Linked DNA regions of Arabidopsis thaliana. The protein of the gene in region 4 purifies or fractionates together with the protein of the main gene of each other region. This does not show direct contact. Each region holds a gene or a part of one and is shown on either strand. Other genes may lie near its edges.

Region 1 (3,246 bases), on a different chromosome or scaffold from region 4:
AAGGTTTGGATTCTACATTGAAAACTCATAATTCCTGAAGACTTTTGATTATGTTATAGAAGTGGGTACAGAGTATGAGATATGGTTGTGTTTTGGGTCTCTGTTTTCAGGCTCGGGCAAGGAAGAGAGAAAGCACTGCAGCACTTAAGGGAAAACCCTGCTCTTCAAGACGAAATTGAGAAGGTTTGCTTCCTCTATTCTTAATCTTAACCCATCTCTGAAGATTGCAAAAATCCATCCTTTTAACAAGAACGTAATTTTTTTTGCATCAATTCGTCCTCCTTACGTTGGCAATGGTGTTGCAGAAAGTGAGATTGTTGATGTTAGATGGAGAAGTTCATCGATCAACTCCTTTGATGAGCAGCAGCTCTTCCTCGGCTTCACATCGCGAAGAAGAAGAAGAAGACTCGCTTGACGATTTCCAATGACATAACACTTAAGCTTGAGACTTTCGGATCTATGGATGTACAACACTTGATTTTCTCTCATCATGTTCACCTCTTGTTTCAAGTTTCATCAATTAAAAAAAAACACTCATATGGTTCAGTCTTAAATCCGAAACCATTCTTGTGCATGGAAATCATAAAGGATAGGAAGATGAATATATATACAAACACTAGAAGTCTTATAAATTCAAAGTATGTCTGAGTTTTACAACATTAGAGAGAAAGAGAACAACACAGAAACATTTATAGAAACATGATTACACATGCGCTAACAACTTTAAGATTTACTGAGCCAAAGCACTTGTGTTGTACACAAGAAGAGCACCTCCGGCAAGAATTCCGGCGAGAGTTACCGCCCAAATTGCCAATCCGGTGACTCCTCCCTTGTACACGTCACCACTCGCTGACCACTCGTTCTCGTTGTAAATAGGACTGCAACCCAAACATTAAAAATCAATCATCTACTACGTAATCCATGGTTCTTTCTTATCTACAAAAAATGTTATGGAGGATGATAATTCTAATTCACCTGTATCCATCGACGTTAGCTCCATACTTGTCGACGTACTTGTAAACACCGTATCCCTGCGATTATACGTCATTGTTTAGAGAACCCACCAAATTATTATTAAAAAGGATATTAAACAACACCGTTTTCAGTTACTACAAACCTTGCCCTTTCTGCCGGAGGCGTCGACGCCGTCCCTCAAGTCCATGCTGCCGTTAATTCCTACACACACATCGATTAACGGAAATAAGCTATACATGAACGGTAACGTGTATATGTTGTAAAAGTCTGTGTAATAATAATATAAACGAACCGAAGGGCTTGTCGGTCTTGATCTTCTTGACGCCACTGGCGACAATTTTGAAGGAGGGACGAGCTCTTGTGAGCGACGGTAATCCTCTAGCCGCCGTCTTCTCCACCGTGAAACCAGCTGGTTTCAATGTCACCGAAGATAGCATCACTGAAGCAGCCATTATTTTTCTCACAAGATGATCAAACTATTCTTCTCTCGATCTCTTCTCACCCTAATGTTCATGTTGTGTGGCTTCAAATACGAGGGAGAGAAGATCCGGTAAGTGATTGTGGTTATGACACGTGGCTAATGTTGTGTGGCTTTGGTCTGGATATCTTCCTTACTAACGTTATCTTCAACTGGTTAAGCAGATCCGTCAGATCAGTTTTTTCTTCATTTCGTAATGCCACGTAGGAGATGAAAAAAACAAATGCCACGTAGGATATTCAATACTTTTTATTTTTCATTTGTGACCCCTACAAGTTATTTTATTTTATTTTTGAGAAAACCCCTACAAGTTTTAGTTTACTTAAAACAACCCCACTAGTTTGTCGTAAACTCGCAATGTCTTCCACGTTGTGAATTTTGCCAAGCGTTGAAATGAACCGCAAATTCGTACACCGATCAGCGTTTAGATACTGCGTCTATAATTGCTCGCTCGCTGCGTCTGTAGTGTTGACACTAGTAGATGATATTATTTTTCTTTTCTTGATTAATCAATGTCTAATGCTACTCAAATTATGGCTTCTCCATAACTGGAAACATCAACAAACTTGACCATTGTCTAATGCAAGTTCTAATCATATTTACTAGTAACAAATAAATCTGTATATAATACATGATTGTATCGTACACAAGGATTTGGTCAATGTTTTCTATGCTTATTCTATTATTCTTCTACTCAAGTCATTAAGATATGATATTAATACAAATTAAAGTCGTTTAAATTAATAACTAGTGGTTGATCAGTCGATATATTCGTTACACGTCTCAGTCGTGATGAGAAACAAAACTAATATAATTAAATTGAGAGTGAGTAAGGTTACAAGCTATCGATTTCATAGATTCAGTCTAAATATTACCCACCACAATTTTAATAAATCAAATTAAATCCCACGTCTGCTTCTAATGTTAGTAGTAGACCCCAAATAACAAAACAAATTATTCTTTTTTCATGAGTAAGGACTAAGGACTATATAAGCTAGCTGTTATAACTTATGAGTCAAATGACCTTTCTGAAAGAAAAAAAACACATATATTGAAATCTTCTAATGCAAATATATGTACATTTTGCCTATTATTAAGTCTGTTTAATTCAGTCTGTAATATATATTTTGACTATATACAATGTGGATAAGAGAATAATTTTGATACTTAAAATAAATTACGCATCTTTGCTGTATTACTTCACATAATCCCAAAACCACAAGCACGATGATTTGTATACAGATAACAGAACATGCTTAACTATATAATGTCAAATGAAAACAAACAATCTTTTCCAAAACAACTTTAGAATCAGAAAAAAAAACACATGCTCAAAAGTCACAACTAAATCGATATATCATATAATGCCAAATGAAGAATTGAACAGTAATAATTGTATAAACTTGTCGAACAGCAATTTTTTAAAGAGTCGGTTCGGTTAAATACTTAAATCCATTGCTTAGAATTCAACATTTACAGAACTGAACCGGTCCGGTTTTGACTTTATGGTATAGTAGGACCAGCCGCAGGTGATTTCACACTCTTGGAAGTAAAGTGGGACCCAGAAAAAATTAGACTACTCCAGTAAGTAAGTAAGGTCATTTAACAACGACTAATAACGCTAATTAATTAGCCAAAAACAATGCTAATTAATAATGATTAACGACTTAATTATACTGTTGCCTTCTTCTCAATGGATTATATCTTGTTGTCTTCTTCTCTCTCTCTATATACGCGAAACTTTGTCGTCTCTCTCTCCTCGAAGAACTTTTTGAAAGTTTGTCTTTCTCTTT
Region 2 (5,089 bases), on a different chromosome or scaffold from region 4:
AATGTTGGTAGCTCGAGAGCTTAAGGATTTTTTGTTGGAGATTCAAAGACTCATCGACCCTATAACAAGGCAAGATCAAGAACCTAACAATGCAATGGAGCATTCAGTTGATGTCACTCCTCAGCCTGATGGGGCAAATAGGACTGATGCAGAAGATAGTGAGGGAACATCATCGTCTAGAAGAGTCAGGCCTCATCTACCAACCCCGGAACCTCTGAATGTATCACCGTTGAAGAAAGGAAGATTAGAAAGACCGCGTCCCAGAAGGCCAATGAAATTCTGGACTTCTGAAGAAGTGGCAGCTTTGAGGGAAGGAGTTAAAGAATATGGAAAATCATGGAAAGATATCAAGAATTCATACCCTGTTGTTTTCGCTGATAGGAGCGAGGTGGATTTGAAGGATAAGTGGAGGAATTTACTTGGTCGTCAGTAGTAGGAATCTTACCTTCTAACTTATGGGCATTTTGGTTTTGGGATCTTGTGTAGTTTTGCCGCTTGTGTTAGAAAGGGACTCACTTTTTGTACGGTGAAGGCTTTAATATGTTCTTGATTCAGGCTCTTGTAGTTAGTGTCAAGCTTTAGACGATATTTCTTGTTCAAAAATCTATTGACCAGTTGATTACAAAATGGAATGATTTTAAATATTTGGTCCTATAATCAAATCAAGCAAGCTCTGAAACCCATCTCTAACTCCTCCCGGTTCAAATTCTTGCCGATGAAAACAATCTTGTTGGTTCTTGTTTCATCTTTTCTCCATAACCGGTCAGGTGATCCTTCAAATATTTCATGAACTCCCTGTTCCAACCATTATAAACCACAAACGTCAGAGATAATTTACATCCCAAGGCTTCGATGCTTTAGAATTCATCCGAAATGATCAAAATAATGACAAAGGTTGGTCACCTGAAACACGAATCTCTCGTCCATGTCTTGTACGGAGAGGATACCTTTCATTCTGTAGATATCCTCACTACGTTGGTACAATAGCGCCCCAAGCCACATGTTAGCCTGATCCATTTTCAAAACTAAGGTTATAGATGATGCAAGTAATCAATCGCACATCTCAACAATCGTTTTAATTATAAGTAACACGTCAGGTGCTACAGTTTTATGCATCACATGTGACACAACTTGAGCCATATTGGGTTAATACCTTCTCGAGGTCTAAGTCTCCTTCGCAAACTATACTGACTGAACCAACACCAGGGTCATGGGTGTGATCATGAGAATGGTGATGCTCTGCAGTTTCAGAAGCAAACTAATCAATGCATGTAGGCGATCGTTATTAAGTAATAAGGCCATTATTTGGTAACACTATAACATACCGTGTTCATGCTCATGCTCATGCTCATTGTGGTGATCATGGCAGTCATGACCATGGTGATGATCATCATGACCCTCGCGATCTTCTTTCTCTTCTTCATTCACAGAGCTTTCAATTCTGGAAAGATAAAATAGTTGGCCACCAGCAATAAATCAGAGTAACAAAATCAGCCCTCTTAAACCAGGAAATCCACAACCAATAAACCATAACAAATGTAAGGAGCTACAATTCACTTTGGACAGAAGTTTTCGGAGTGACTCGTAATAAGATTTTTAGTAAGACGTAAAATAAAACCGGACCTTTCTAGATCAAACCCTCCAATTCCAAGAACATAATCCAAGTCAACCTTCCCATACTTTGTCCGCTTCATGTGAGCCATGCTGTTTATGGTCTGGAAATAACCACATCATAAATGCTAACGCAGTGCACAGAGAAAAATAGATGTTCAAAGAGAAAAAAGAAAGAATCAGAAGAAGCAGAACCTACCTTTATCCGCTGCATCACTGAAGCTAGTTCTGGCTCACCAACAAGATCAGTCTACAACAAAGTACAAACAATTTTCAGCTTGTATGATATGTCGAGGAGAACATACATAGCAGACCATTGAAAAGCTTCTACTATAAGCATCCACCACACATTTCAAATACAAGTTATGGTGATGTTAATCATGAAAATTAGGTCGAAATAGAACTTCACAATACCTTGTTAACAATGATACGATCCGCGTAAGCTATTTGTTCAACCGCCTCATTGACATAGCCTTCAGGTTTGACCTCATCTAGATGCAAACGAGCATGTTTAGCATCAACCAGAGTGACAACCCCATCCAGCTTGACATCATTGAAAATTTCATCCTCAGCATAGAAAGTTTGAATAATCGGAGCAGGGTTAGCCAATCCTGAAAGAAAATATACATAATATATTCATTTATTCTTTAATAACATAGTAGTTGGTTCTTAACGAATCATGTAGCTCCAGAGTGATAGAAAATATTGAACCTGTCGTCTCAATAACGATATGGTCGAACCTTCCTTTCTTGGTCTGGACCATTTCAGAAATCATCCTCACAAGATCACCCCTAACAGTACAACACAGACAGCCATTGTTAAGCATCATTATATCCTCCGCTCCCGCAGTTTGAGCTGCCACAAGTGATCCATCAATGTCGACTTCACCAAACTGAGAATTCACATTTCAGAACAAATTAGTGAAACCATAAAACATAAAACAATCTCTATTCAGCTTCTCAGACAATACCTCGTTCTCAATCACGGCTATGCGCTTCCCATGATCTCCCGTCAATATATGGTTTAGCAATGTTGTCTATACACTCAGAAAAAAACAATTCCAGTGAAATTCAGAATCTGATCGCTCAAAATTGAGCAGGAATTTCCGAATCATGAACCCTAGATTAGCCTCACCTTACCAGAGCCCAGGAACCCGGTGATTATAGTGGCCGGAATTCGATTGTCGGGCAAAATCTCACTGGCAACATCGAAGATATCTTCATCATCTACAACGGCGAGCGAGGAATCAGAGGCAACGGCGGAGTGGAATCTCCGACGGCTGTCAGAGTAAAGCGCCGCGGAATAGAACGATGACGACTTCGTTCTGAGGGAAACTGTGGCTGTACTGAGCCTAGCAGAAGCGAACCGATGGTTCAAGGAGGTATTAGCTCGGGGAACGATGAAAGCAAGGAAAGTCGTGGCTATGTCGAGTTTCAACAGCGTCGCCATTGTTATTAGGGTTCAAGGTATTCTGTGAAGGTTCGGACATAGAGATAGACAGTTAGACACTTGCTAGCTTCAGAATTTACGCGGTTTTTTTACATTGTTTTTTTTTTCCGGTTCCATCCAACGGTCGAGATTTGACTTGTATTATTTCGAAAGAAAAACAAAATGGTAAAACATAAATGTATGAAAAAGGATTAAAATTATAGCACATGAGATATTGTAGTCATTTTTGTTACAAAATATATTAATCAGAAATTCAGAATGCGTGCATCAAAATTAGATGCAAAACTTGAAGAAGAGCATAATCCTAAATCTAGTTATAACAAATATATGGCGACAATTTCTGATATCAGTTTCGAGAATTAGTTTGTTTTGCAACTGTATTGATGTCAACAGAAGATAATGTGATTAAAATTGTTTCTAAAACAAGAACTGTCAAATTTCGAGTAATTATATTTATTGATTTTCTTGTTTATGCATATCCAAGGTTACTCTTCATCATCTCACAATTTTTTTTCGGTTATAAACTAAAAAATGTGGCTAATTTGAATATAAAGTTTGTATATTTAAAAGCAAAAAGTAACGTTGGTCCAATGCAAAAAAATTAAGAGTTCCCTATACTATTAGAATTTAGAAATGAAATACTATACGATTCGAAGTTTGTGTTGTAACGCAGGTTTAATTAATTGAGATGGAGTAAAACAAAAAGGAATAAGAAGAAAAGAAACAACAAGGAACATCAATACAAAAGAAATAAATCGTTGAAATCTCAAAGAGGGGTCCACTTAAAAGTGGGACCTTGACCTTCTTTATTCTTCCATCTTATCTCAAAAACGCATTAGATTGTTCCGAACCTAACTCCTTTCCTCACTAAGGGTGATTCATCTTACACGTGTCATCCGATAGTAGGTTAAGAAACAGGCTCGGCTCACGGCCACTTTGCACATTTCTATACTCTTCTCTCTTTCTTATTCCTCACCTTCCTTGTTCAATCACCGTCTCCTCAAAATCACAACACCAACAAAACAAAAAAAAGGTTTTGATCAAAGAGATCACTGTTAAACCCTCACAAAATTTCCTCAGGACTAATAATCTGCGATCGATCGTCGTTATGATAAGGTACGTATCAGCTTATTCGATCAACTAGCACAACTGTTTCCTGGTGAACAGTTACTTTATATTGCTTCCCTTTACTTGTCTTTTATATTAAGCTTGCTAATCTCTTTGATTCGTTTTTGTTTGAATTAGCTTTACTTTGGGTTTCTGGGTTTTACTGTTGGGAATTAAACGCTTCACATAGTGATGATTCACACTTATCTCATTTGTTACTGTAATTGTTTGTGTTTGTTTTCATCCGATTGATGTGAGTTTGAATCATTTTATCGTATTTGACTATCTCTTTTTGATGATCGTACGAAAGTAGAGATCTTTGACAAGGTAAATGTGGTTTTTTTTTTATGTATAAGAACCTGCAAAGTTGAATGAAAAATTCTTGGGGAAATTTTTGTAAGTCAAATTTTTGACGTGAGTGAGGGATTGTGATCGTGCTCTGTTTCAGTCTCTAAAGAAGATTGATGATTCTGGATTACATTATCATGGGAGGAGCTTGTTCAAGGAAGAGAGATCAACAAGTTGAGGATATTTTAAACAGAGGTGTCTCTGGAAAATATAGCAAGAGTTCAAGTTCGAAATGGTTAGCTACTTCGCTCTCTAGGTCTGGCTCCGATGTTAAACGGAAGAATGGAGAATGCCCGTCGCTTATGGAGCTCTGTGTCCGCAAGATACAGGAGGTATATTGTTTCCACTTACCAGGCTCTAATTAGTGTATAAACGCTAGCCTAATGTTTGAACTCTGTTTCATTGCAGGACATTGATAGATATACCAAGTTCTCTGACCTACCTAGAGATATCAGTCAGCAGATTTTTGATGAATTGGTTTATTCCCAGAGGTTAACTTTAAAGTCTCTTGAGGCATTTCGGGACTGTGCAATCCAGGTAAAGTCCTTGGTGTTTCTCTTGTGTTCATGTCCTA
Region 3 (4,912 bases), on a different chromosome or scaffold from region 4:
TTGTGTACCAACAATAACATTCATACTACAAATTTTCAGATTAATAGTAAATGATTAACTCAATTGAAACAACCATTATAAAGAGAGATGGTGTAACTGTAGAGTAATTTTTTAATACAATAATGCTATGAAACAATAAGAAAGACTAAAATTCATGCTATTGTAAATCTTAAATTTGAAGTTAGGAACTTAGGATTGTTAAATCATAAAGTGATTTAAAATTGACTATTGTATAGTGTTTATTTCGTTCTTTCTTTCGAATATCTCTAGATATATCGGTTTTGACAAAAACAAATCCAACATGGTTGATGTTTGTTGTCAGTTAGTTCACATTTCCACCAAAATCCAAAAAGAATTGTCAAATTTGTAACGCAATCGACATCAACAATCAGTTCTCATTGAATGTACTTCACATTCTATTACACATCCTTAATTTTTTTTATGGGTTTTGGTTTATGAACTCCAATTAAGAAAAAACATCTCATCTTAGGATACCCATCATGTGTAGGCCATAGAAGGTCGAATCAGATTCTCAACATGTGAAAATATTTTCTTTTGAAAATACAACATTTTCTCAAAAATCTGTTATCAATCTATTAATAATAGGATCTGTAAAACCTTAATAATACTATGCTTTAAAAAAGGTAAATATCATGACTTGTATTCATTCATACATGAAAACATCAAAAATAGCCCTCTAGCAAAACGCTTCCACCTAATTGCTTAGACTGCAAATCTTTCACATGCTTTGATTCTAACCACTTCATCGACGCGATCTGTCTCTCATCTTTTGTGCTCCATTCCGGCAAGACCTCAATAATTACTTTCTGCAATAGTTTCTGCTCAAATCCATCTCTCAGAAGAACTTCAAGGTCTTTGACGTTCCCCCTCAAATCTAACAAGACACTGCATAGTCCACGGTTGTAACAATAATCCAAAATGGAATCCAAGTTTATCTTTTCCAATACTACGGTTTCGACCCCGCTACTACTGATTCCGGATTCTGCAACCGATTCCTTTGCGGTGAAAACTACAACTTTTGGACCCGATTCTTCCACAGTGTGGGAAGAAGCAAGGATATGAGACTGTTGTGCATTGCTAGCTACTATGATCTGAATAGGTTGGATCGAAACATTAATAGCTTCTTGTGAAGAAATGCTCGAGAGTTCATCCGATAACGAGGAAGAAAGTATTATCGCATCATATTCCTGCAATAGCTTCGAGTAGTATCCACCACTATCCGAAGCCCCTTGCCCAATCTTGTCTAGCAAACAACCATTGACAGACATAGAATACCTGCAAAGATTTTCAAAACTTAAAAACAATCTATTGACTCGGATTTGTCTCCACTCAAGAGAAGCAATGAACTTTACCTGAGGGCGAGAAAAGGCTTCCCTGTTAACATTCGATGGATGAATCCCTCATTCATCTTCTTGCATAACTCTTCTTCAACACTCACAGTAACATCGATTCCAGCATCTTTCAACCGACTAATACCCGAAGAAAAAACAATTGGATTCGGATCAACCATCCCAATAACAACTCTTCTCACCTTAGCCTTAATCAATGCTTCTGTACACGGCGGTGTTCTTCCGTAATGATTACATGGTTCCAAACTAACATAAGCAGTAGCATTCTCAGCTAACTCTCCAGCATCTCTAAGAGCAAACACCTACCATACCAATGCCAACAACAACAATTCCACAAGCAAGACTTAAAGTTTGCTCATTTTCAGTAACCCAACAAAGAAAGATTGAATTTTTGTTACCTCAGCATGAGGCTGACCAGCTTTGGGATGAAACCCTTGGCCAACAATGTCACCATCTTTGACAATGACACAACCTACCATAGGATTAGGACTTGTACACCCAATTGCTCTTTTTGCTAGCTCCACACACTTTCTCATATAAAACGAATCATCGACTTCAACATCTTCTTCTCTTCTCATGGCAGCCAAAACTGGATTGCTGAAACCAGTCTGAGATTTATGTAATCTTTTGAAGAAACAGTGATTTGGGCTCTGAAGTGAAGTGAGGTTGAAAATGCGGCGAGGATTTGAGGAGAGTGATGGTAAGAGTGGAATTGAGGTTCGAGGAGTGATCGAAGGAATCGAAATTGGGAGACATGAGATCTGCATATCACTATTGAATCTTGTTCTTCACTAAAATCGAACCTCGAAGATTAAATTGCGGATTCGGGCCGTCTCCGTCAGCAGCGGTGAGAATACAGCCGAAACCCTAACATCAACGGTGGTAGAGAAATAGAGACGACGACGACGACGAGAAGATTGGATTTGTAATTGAAAGAGTCGGTTAAGACTAACCGGAAACCGTAACAGTCATAACCATCGGTTTACTAGGCTATTTTAAATTTTGTTTTAGACAGTTATACATATCCGGTTTAAGAAACACCAATGAATTGGGGTCTCAAGGGCCAACAGACTTGTCTCAATAGAGATAAGAAATAAAGAAACCCAAAACGCAAGAAACGGAAAAAAGCATACATTGTTGATTGTATTTGGGGTCTCGCCCTTCTCAAGAATTGGGGTCTCGCCCTTCTCAAGAAGCTCGTTAGCTCGCTCCTCTTCGTCAAGCTCTTCAGATCGCCTTTAAGCTCTTCAAGCTCCTCGGCTCGTCCTCAAGCTCCTCAGCTCGTCATCAAGCTCCTCAGCTCGTCTTCAAGCTCTTCCTCAGCTCGACCAACTCCTCGTCTAGCTATCAGCTCATCCCTCGACTGCAAAACTCATCTACCTCCTCGCCTAGCGGCAGTTCGTCCATTGACTGCATAGTCCACCTATCTCGTCGCCCAGCTCGTCTACACCAGCAAACAACTCGGTTTGTCCAAGTCTCTCTACCACGGTTCATCCAGCTCGTCGCACATTTGCCGGCTCGTCAACTACCTGCCGACCTACCTCCAATGACGGCCTAGCTCACTTATTCTAATATGAACTACGTGTGGCTTGATCCCTTTCTGAGGGTACGTAGGCAGCCTTTTACAAGGTTCAGCTATAAAACGAATAAACTCTATTCTTCCTCGGATATCAAGATCGTTTTCCGGCCTCAAGCTCGTCTTTCATCTACAATCGGCTCGTTCTTTTTCCATTTATGCTTGTTGAAGAAATCATCCTTTGTAATCCGTCCAATTCGCCTAAGTCGCGGGCTCGTCATTAATAGAACGATTCTTCTTCCTTCCCTAGAGATCCCATTTTCGTACTTGTGTGATTCGTGCATCAACGGTTGGCGCGCCAGGTAGGGGGATAGCTCGAAGATATCTCTCAAAACTACGACCCAGCGACGAAGCAAAGTGACAACAAACAGACTACATGGAGCATTCGATACCGACTCGTCAGGCTCTGGAAGTAAAACGACAACGTCGATCCCCGGGAGAGCCAGTCACTCGACCTCTTCATTCGATATCGCAGCATGTTCTCCGACAAGAAAAGGACTTCAAGGAACTATCGACCCCATCATCCTAGGCGATGACACTTCCAGCCGGGCAGTCAGGACAATAACACTGACCGACGAGGAAGTGCCACCGATCAAAGAGGAACATCCCATAACCTCAATAAACATACCGACCTCGTTATCACTCACGCCTAACCAAGAACAAGAGGAGAAGTCATCAGGCGGACGTCACTTGGAGAACCTCGACGATGACACTCCCAGCTCGGCAGCTCGGACGATAACGTCAGCGCACGGGAAAACTCAAATAAAGAATACTACTCGGCGTCATCTATTGTACCGACCTCGTTATCGCCCACGCCTGAATACCTAGCGTTGCAAAAAGACCAAGGAGAAGCTTCACTTAGCTGATTTCATCGCCTGGACGATACGGCTAAAGCCAACCAACGCGGCGAAGAACTAATCAACATCATCATCGATCATTTAAAGCAGCGCGACGCGATTATTAACCGCCGCCCAAGAGCACATACAAGATAAAATTAGCCGCATGCACATGAGTCGTTATTCGCATACCCGACCTACGCGAAGAAATTCAGGTTGTCTTAAACAAACCCAGCTCGGCAATTCCTCAGACCGCTATAAACGAGATACCAAGTGCAAGACCTTCACGCCCAAATCAATTGAGCCATCTCCAGGGTCCATGAGGTCGGACGCGCCATAAGAGATATCGACGATCCGACACTGACGCCAATGTTTTGCGAATACCGCAAAGCAATGACCACACCAAAACGACTAACAAAACACATCATGTCGGCAGGCTACGAGAAGCTAAACGAAAGAACCAGACGGCTCTGGACGTACACAACGACGCAACCAACCAAACGCCATTTGCGCCATCTTGCAAAGTGAAAGTAACAGCACCCGCTGGAGCTAGGCGAACTGAAGAAAAGCCAAACTCTCCTCAACAGCGAAATTCACATCGTCACTCAAAACGTCGGAGATCTCGTTCCAACGCCATCCCACTAAAACGAAGAAAACGATGCCACTTAGCATAACGTCACGTCGGACGAACGAACTGACAAGAACTAGGGCAGACATTGAGCATCGTCTTTTCGATAATTGTATCAACGAACTCGACCGTCAAAACTCGATCGTACCACAAACTCTTGCGTTGAGATAAGTAAAATTTTCATTTTTGTCGTAATTCAATTCATCATTATTCTTAAAAAGGGTTCCGCTGGACCTCGTAGCGATCGAGCTAATTTACATCGGTGTCCTGGCCCGGCATTCGATCGATAAACGAACGCACGAACCCCTTTAAGTATGCCATGTATCGGTAAAACGGTCTTGGATAAAACCTACACTTAAGGGAGTGCTAAGCCGAGCTCCGCGCTCGCACCGTTTCGACGGAATCAATAGTTTCGACAAACTTTGGTTTCGTCTGACAACCGATTAAGCCGAGCTCCGCGCTCGCACCGTTTTGACGGAATCAATAGTTTCGACAACTTTGG
Region 4 (5,312 bases):
TTCAAAAGTAATTACAATGATTATCTTACCATTTAACACAATAATACGATTGACAAACACGAATCTTTTTTGCTTACCTTCGATGAATTAATATAAGCTATATAACAAAGGATCTTCAAGTCTTGGACGGATTTGGAATTGGAATTCTCTGGCCTTGGACTCTGTCAAGATCTTACCCCCGTACGAACCTACTTGGTGTGAGAAGAAAACCAAGCAGTGCTTTTGGAATTTATTGTGTATGTGTCGGATCTGACTTGGATTAGAGCTAATGGTGAATATATAAAGAAGATGAAGACAAGAGTTTCGTCTTTGTTGACGTACGAGAGAAAGATTAAAGACAATCATTTTGAGTCTCCTAAATGAATTTGTTTTTCTGAATTCTGACACTTAGTTTCTTTAGTCAAATCACTTTTGAAAAAGTGTAAAAGCGTCACTTTGTTTAACCGAATGGTCAATTTTTTGAAGATTAAAACTGGCTATTTCTAACCTTTTTTTTCTTCATGTTTTCTTGTTGTATATATATTGGCCCATTTCTCATAGACAAATCTCAAGAAAATGATAGTTCCTCTCCCTCCCCTCAAGAAAAGTTTTCATGCATTGTTTTTTTCTTTTCTTTTTTATTTTGTGAAAAAAGTTATTTCAAGTAAATAAGTGGTTTAGCATTCTAAACCGCTTGTTCAAAACCTACAAATCAAAGCAGCAGAAATCACAACAACGAGTTCTAACATTACAAGCGACACAATCATCACTAAAATTTAAATTGCATGAAAAAAGCCCCAAAAAAATAAAGTAAGCACTCCCTTTAACTTAAACACTCTTCCAAATGCTTGGAGAATAAAACCCAATATGTAGAGATTATTACGTACTGTAATCTTCACCAGTGTACAAAGTTGTCGCCGTGTGATGATTTTCAAGTAAACACAATATTTCCCAGGTTAGAGCTTCCAGATCTGAAATAAAATTGTTTCCAAGCTTTAACACTTCAAATATTGTGATAAATATGTTACAATATATATATATATATATATACACACCATATGTAACACACAAAGAAAATAACCATGATAGATTAGATACACCATATATATCTAACATTAAAAGCAAATAATCATAACATCTAAAAGGTAAAAGAACAAACAAAAGACAAAAGCTAGACATCTAAAATAGTAAAATGTATAACATCGAACCACCAATATCTTTTACTCTAAGACTTTTTACCAGACTCATATACTCACACACTCACAGAGTCACACACACACATAGTAATGATGTCTTGATGATTAGATAGACCACATTGCACACAAAAAGATATAATCATGACATCTAAAAGGTAAAAACAAACAAAACACAAAAGGCATGTGAAATGGATAACAATGAACCAACATAAACTTTTGTTTTAAGGGACCAACAGAAACTTATCAAAAGTATCTTTAATCGAAAGAATATTTAAATAGCAGAAAAATATATATCCTTACATGTTGGTATTTGCATGAATGAAACTAAATATCTGTTGGATGGAACTTGCTATGTCTTCTGCCGTAAACCTCGTTTCACTTGTTATCTGCACATATTTTACATCTACCTCATGTTAGCCATTGATAGTTATTACATATACTTTAACAATACAAATCCATAATCTATGATTATATTGAAAACCCTAAATAAAATTATAAATGTGTTTTATGACAGCTAATCCAGATTAGATAATTACATGTATTATTTGATGAGTCTAGATTTTGCATATGAAAGCTGAATATGAATGATGAATTACTTTTTAACATATAAACTTGCCTTGACATTAAAGGAGTAGAGGACGGTTTGTTCCATGGTAGTGATGTTAGTGTGAAGAATAGAGAGATGAAGATCCTCCAAAGCAGCTATAGTCTTAATCAGCTGTCCCGGCCTTCTTCTTGAAAGTATCTTGATCATGGCGTCAAACCCTAGCAGCTTCACCTCCACGTCAGCCAAGCACGACTTGTTCTCCGCAGTCTCCTCCCGAAGCCCTCCTCCGCCCTCTAGCTCGGTTACATTTCCCGTAATAATGAGCGGTTGTGCTTGGTTCGCTACCGTAGTTATGGGAGAAGAAGAAGAAGTCGTTGTCGTTGTCATGTCCCTACCGGTTTCTCCTAAGATTCTTCGACGCTTCTGTGATTCAAGACATTGTAGGAGTTGCTCGAGCTCTCTCACAAACTCTATTGCTCCTCCTATGATTGACGCTTGGTCTCCCTATTTTATACAATTAATATTTGGTGTAGACAGTATAATTAGTTGTACATATACATATAAAAAAACATTCACGAAAATTCTTTCTTTAAGATATAATTTATGAATATCATACCCTTTGAACGTAGGAGCCAGGCATGAGAGATCTAAGGACACGAAGATGCTCATTCATTTGCTTCCTACGGTTTCTTTCGACCGCGATATGAGTCATCCGTTGGCTTTCCACTTCTTCGCTGGTCTTGCTCGTTCTAGCTCTCTTCCTCTTGCTCTTCACCTCCTTTTTCGTAACATTCTTGTTCTCCCTATCTTCTTCTTCTCCTCCAATAAAACGTAGTTGCACGGAGTTGTTGTCGTTGTCATCGTCTTGATCTTCTTTTTCTTCAAGAAACACATTGCCTATGTTTCCTCCACACTCACCTCCTTCTTGAGACGTCTGATGAGAAGGCATGAGATGTTGGGTTTGGTTATGGTCCTCTATTTTGTCGTTCAAGACAGGGAACTTCAAGAAATAAACGGGGTCAATCCCGGTTTCTTGATCGTCTTGGTTTCTGGTCTGGTTCAACGCAAGTTTCGAACCGAAGTCCGCAAACTGCATCACATCAGAGAAGTTCATTTTATCAAAAGGTGTTGCTCCAAATCCGGAAGGAGAGAGTTGATGTTGCTGCTGTTGTGGCATCGATTGCTTTTGTTGTTGTTGAAGGTTTCTATTGAACATATAGTCTATCATACCAGAGCTGTTATCATCGTTACCGCCTGAGGATTCACCTAAGAAGTTTGGTGCCTAATAAAAACCAGAATTGGAGAATGAAGTTAATATCATAAGCAGGAAGATTTGAATCTTATACATAGATATCTATCAATTTGTATAAGAAAAGAGATTAAGGATCTTGAAATACTGGAAAAAAAAACGTACGTACCGAGTAATCTTTATCCATTGCTATTCGTGGTAGTTGATTATAAACTGCTTAAGTCTAATGAAGGTCAAGCTTCTTGACCTGATGACAACAATCCATGAGCTTCACAGTCAGTTTTAAAAACATATACATGAAACAAAAACACACGTAGAACAAGTTAAAACCAAACCTAGGCAGATTACATGTTTCACCATATACATATACATGTATTTTATATGTACAAAACAAGTTTTCAAATTGAATTTTGACAATTAAAAAAAATGATTAACACCAAATATATTAGAGCTTTGTTTAGTAAGGAGTTAACAAAATAAAAGGGACTGACCTTGTATGATTTGCTAGGGTTTACGAGAGATGTATATAAAAGACGCAAGACATGCAAGATAGTAGAAGAAGACGGATTAGAGAAGACAAAACTTAAAAAAGTGAGGGGAGCTTTTTGTATTGAGAAGTCATAAATGAGTAAGCATCACCAAGCTCCCATATTTATAGAGAGAGATACATTATACATGTGTACACAAGGTATAGCAAGGGGGCATTAAATTTCTTAAGTATGTATATTCGTAATCATTTGTTTCTCTAATTACTAATTAGGGTGTGAATGGTACACATTCGTGACCCAATAAAAACAAATTAAACGACTTAAAAAAAGATACGTAAACATGTTTCAAAAAAAAAAAAAACAATTTTCTAAAGAATAAAGATAAATGAAAATCTACATAAGTTAATCTAAAATATTGAGGATTAGTAGTAAGTAGTTTGATTGCAGTGGCTGTTTTATTCTACTATCATATTCCCATTAATTATCGAGACATCATTGTTTTTCGCAATTTTCTATGCATTCTCTTTTAGTTTCTAAAAGTAGAGAAATATCAACCATCACATAAAATGTTTTAGAAAATCTAAAAACTACAACCAAAAGATATCAATCGTGGGAAAAATGAATTTTCGTTACTATTGTCCTTTTTTATTGCTTTGTAAGAAAGAAAAAGGGATGTTATTATTGCCCTCTTATAATTGTTAGAGATACTTAATGCTTAGTAAAAAAAGCTTCCAATTGTAGCAGGATAAAGCCGTGCAGTCGGAAGTTCTCAATGTCTCCCCAAATGCTTTTGCAGAAAATCATGATTGGCTAATCAAAAGATGCTCATTCAATCAATCCCTTTGTATTATGCACATAATGTGTCAATATTAATTTTCATCCCATTTGATATATAAATATCATTACATATATAGTTATCTAGTTCTTCTCTATCTTCTACATAGAAACACATAACAATCCAAATTTTACGGTCAAATTTGAAATGGGGGATCTAGAGCAACTCCCTAGCTTATTTTGAACAAAAATTAAGTTCAATATTGACTCAAAAGAAAGATTATTGAATATTCCAAATCATATCTTGTTTTTGTAATAAATACTCTATTTCTTTTTGCGTTAGACGTAAGGGTGAGGAGCCACAAAATACGAAAAAAGAAGTAACGTGAAAACACACGTGTATCAGCTGATCACCTCTCTATCTATCTATCTTTTTTTTTTGTTTGTCAAACCATAAATGATAAGATTTGAGTTTTTAGAGTTCACAAGCCAAGGCCGCTCTTTTTCCACCGCTTTTCGTGAACTTAATCAAATCTCTATACGCTTCTCATCTTTTAGTTTATTTCTATAGTATTTCAAATTCAAGCACTTATATTAGTTATGTGTTGTCAATAAAATATGATTTCTAATAAAAATATTCTGGTCAAATATATGAAATTAGTTTCACGAACATGACCTATACTATTTGTGTGTGTACGTGGAGACATATACATTTAAAGAAAAAGACACTGGTGTGGATGGTTACGTTTTAACTTTTAACAAAAAGTGGAGTAAAAATTCACGTTGATCAATCCAGTGAACTTTTTCGGGAATAAGAGTCGCGGATCCATAGGAGTATTTTAGTAGGTGCATATTACACAAATACTATGTTGAAAAGAAAAAAAGAAACATGAAAGAGCTTGCATCGAAGCATCAACCAAAAAAAATACTTGCTGCAACCATTCCCAATTGAGCCAACAAAACAACTATTACGATACATAACACCCACAGGCCACAAGCATCGAAATACTGTAAGATATATAGATTTTAAGATCAAACTTCAATGATAGCGAGCGAAGAGACTGATTGATATACTCAAT

The links.
Region 1: the proteins of FMA (region 4) and PSBR purify together in Arabidopsis thaliana (affinity purification with mass spectrometry, with the first as the bait; one study listed by BioGRID). This does not show direct contact.
Region 2: the proteins of FMA (region 4) and AT1G15730 purify together in Arabidopsis thaliana (affinity purification with mass spectrometry, with the first as the bait; one study listed by BioGRID). This does not show direct contact.
Region 3: the proteins of FMA (region 4) and PyrD purify together in Arabidopsis thaliana (affinity purification with mass spectrometry, with the first as the bait; one study listed by BioGRID). This does not show direct contact.

The regions. Positions count from the first base shown.
Region 1 is NC_003070.9:29,734,266-29,737,511, reverse strand, and holds PSBR (photosystem II subunit R), read right to left. Parts: upstream 1,561-3,246; 5' UTR 1,428-1,560; coding exon 1,268-1,427; intron 1,177-1,267; coding exon 1,118-1,176; intron 1,032-1,117; coding exon 976-1,031; intron 879-975; coding exon 731-878; 3' UTR 503-730; downstream 1-502. Other genes in the region: RECA1 (recA DNA recombination family protein), read left to right, coding at 1-3, 111-183, 306-428.
Region 2 is NC_003070.9:5,406,878-5,411,966, forward strand, and holds AT1G15730 (Cobalamin biosynthesis CobW-like protein), read right to left. Parts: upstream 3,167-5,089; 5' UTR 3,061-3,166; coding exon 2,746-3,060; intron 2,648-2,745; coding exon 2,582-2,647; intron 2,504-2,581; coding exon 2,323-2,503; intron 2,223-2,322; coding exon 2,026-2,222; intron 1,862-2,025; coding exon 1,811-1,861; intron 1,716-1,810; coding exon 1,624-1,715; intron 1,442-1,623; coding exon 1,326-1,441; intron 1,240-1,325; coding exon 1,154-1,239; intron 1,009-1,153; coding exon 904-1,008; intron 796-903; coding exon 658-795; 3' UTR 524-657; downstream 1-523. Other genes in the region: TRFL5 (TRF-like 5), read left to right, coding at 1-433; AT1G15740 (Leucine-rich repeat family protein), read left to right, coding at 4,632-4,847, 4,924-5,052.
Region 3 is NC_003075.7:11,209,302-11,214,213, reverse strand, and holds PyrD (Cytidine/deoxycytidylate deaminase family protein), read right to left. Parts: upstream 2,971-4,912; 5' UTR 2,138-2,970; coding exon 1,769-2,137; intron 1,673-1,768; coding exon 1,374-1,672; intron 1,297-1,373; coding exon 684-1,296; 3' UTR 518-683; downstream 1-517. Other genes in the region: AT4G20953 (uncharacterized protein), read left to right, coding at 3,105-3,162, 3,350-3,686, 4,219-4,456. UniProt on the Arabidopsis thaliana protein: Monofunctional pyrimidine deaminase involved in the riboflavin biosynthesis pathway. Also has a reductase domain that lacks catalytically essential substrate-binding residues.
Region 4 is NC_003074.8:8,714,615-8,719,926, forward strand, and holds FMA (basic helix-loop-helix (bHLH) DNA-binding superfamily protein), read right to left. Parts: upstream 3,598-5,312; 5' UTR 3,463-3,597; intron 3,219-3,462; 5' UTR 3,159-3,218; coding exon 3,141-3,158; intron 3,005-3,140; coding exon 2,339-3,004; intron 2,227-2,338; coding exon 1,792-2,226; intron 1,562-1,791; coding exon 1,476-1,561; coding exon of another isoform or gene 1,472-1,475; exon of another isoform or gene 951-1,471; coding exon 911-950; 3' UTR 504-910; downstream 1-503. UniProt on the Arabidopsis thaliana protein: Transcription activator. Together with MYB88 and MYB124, ensures that stomata contain just two guard cells (GCs) by enforcing a single symmetric precursor cell division before stomatal maturity. Together with SPCH and MUTE, regulates the stomata formation.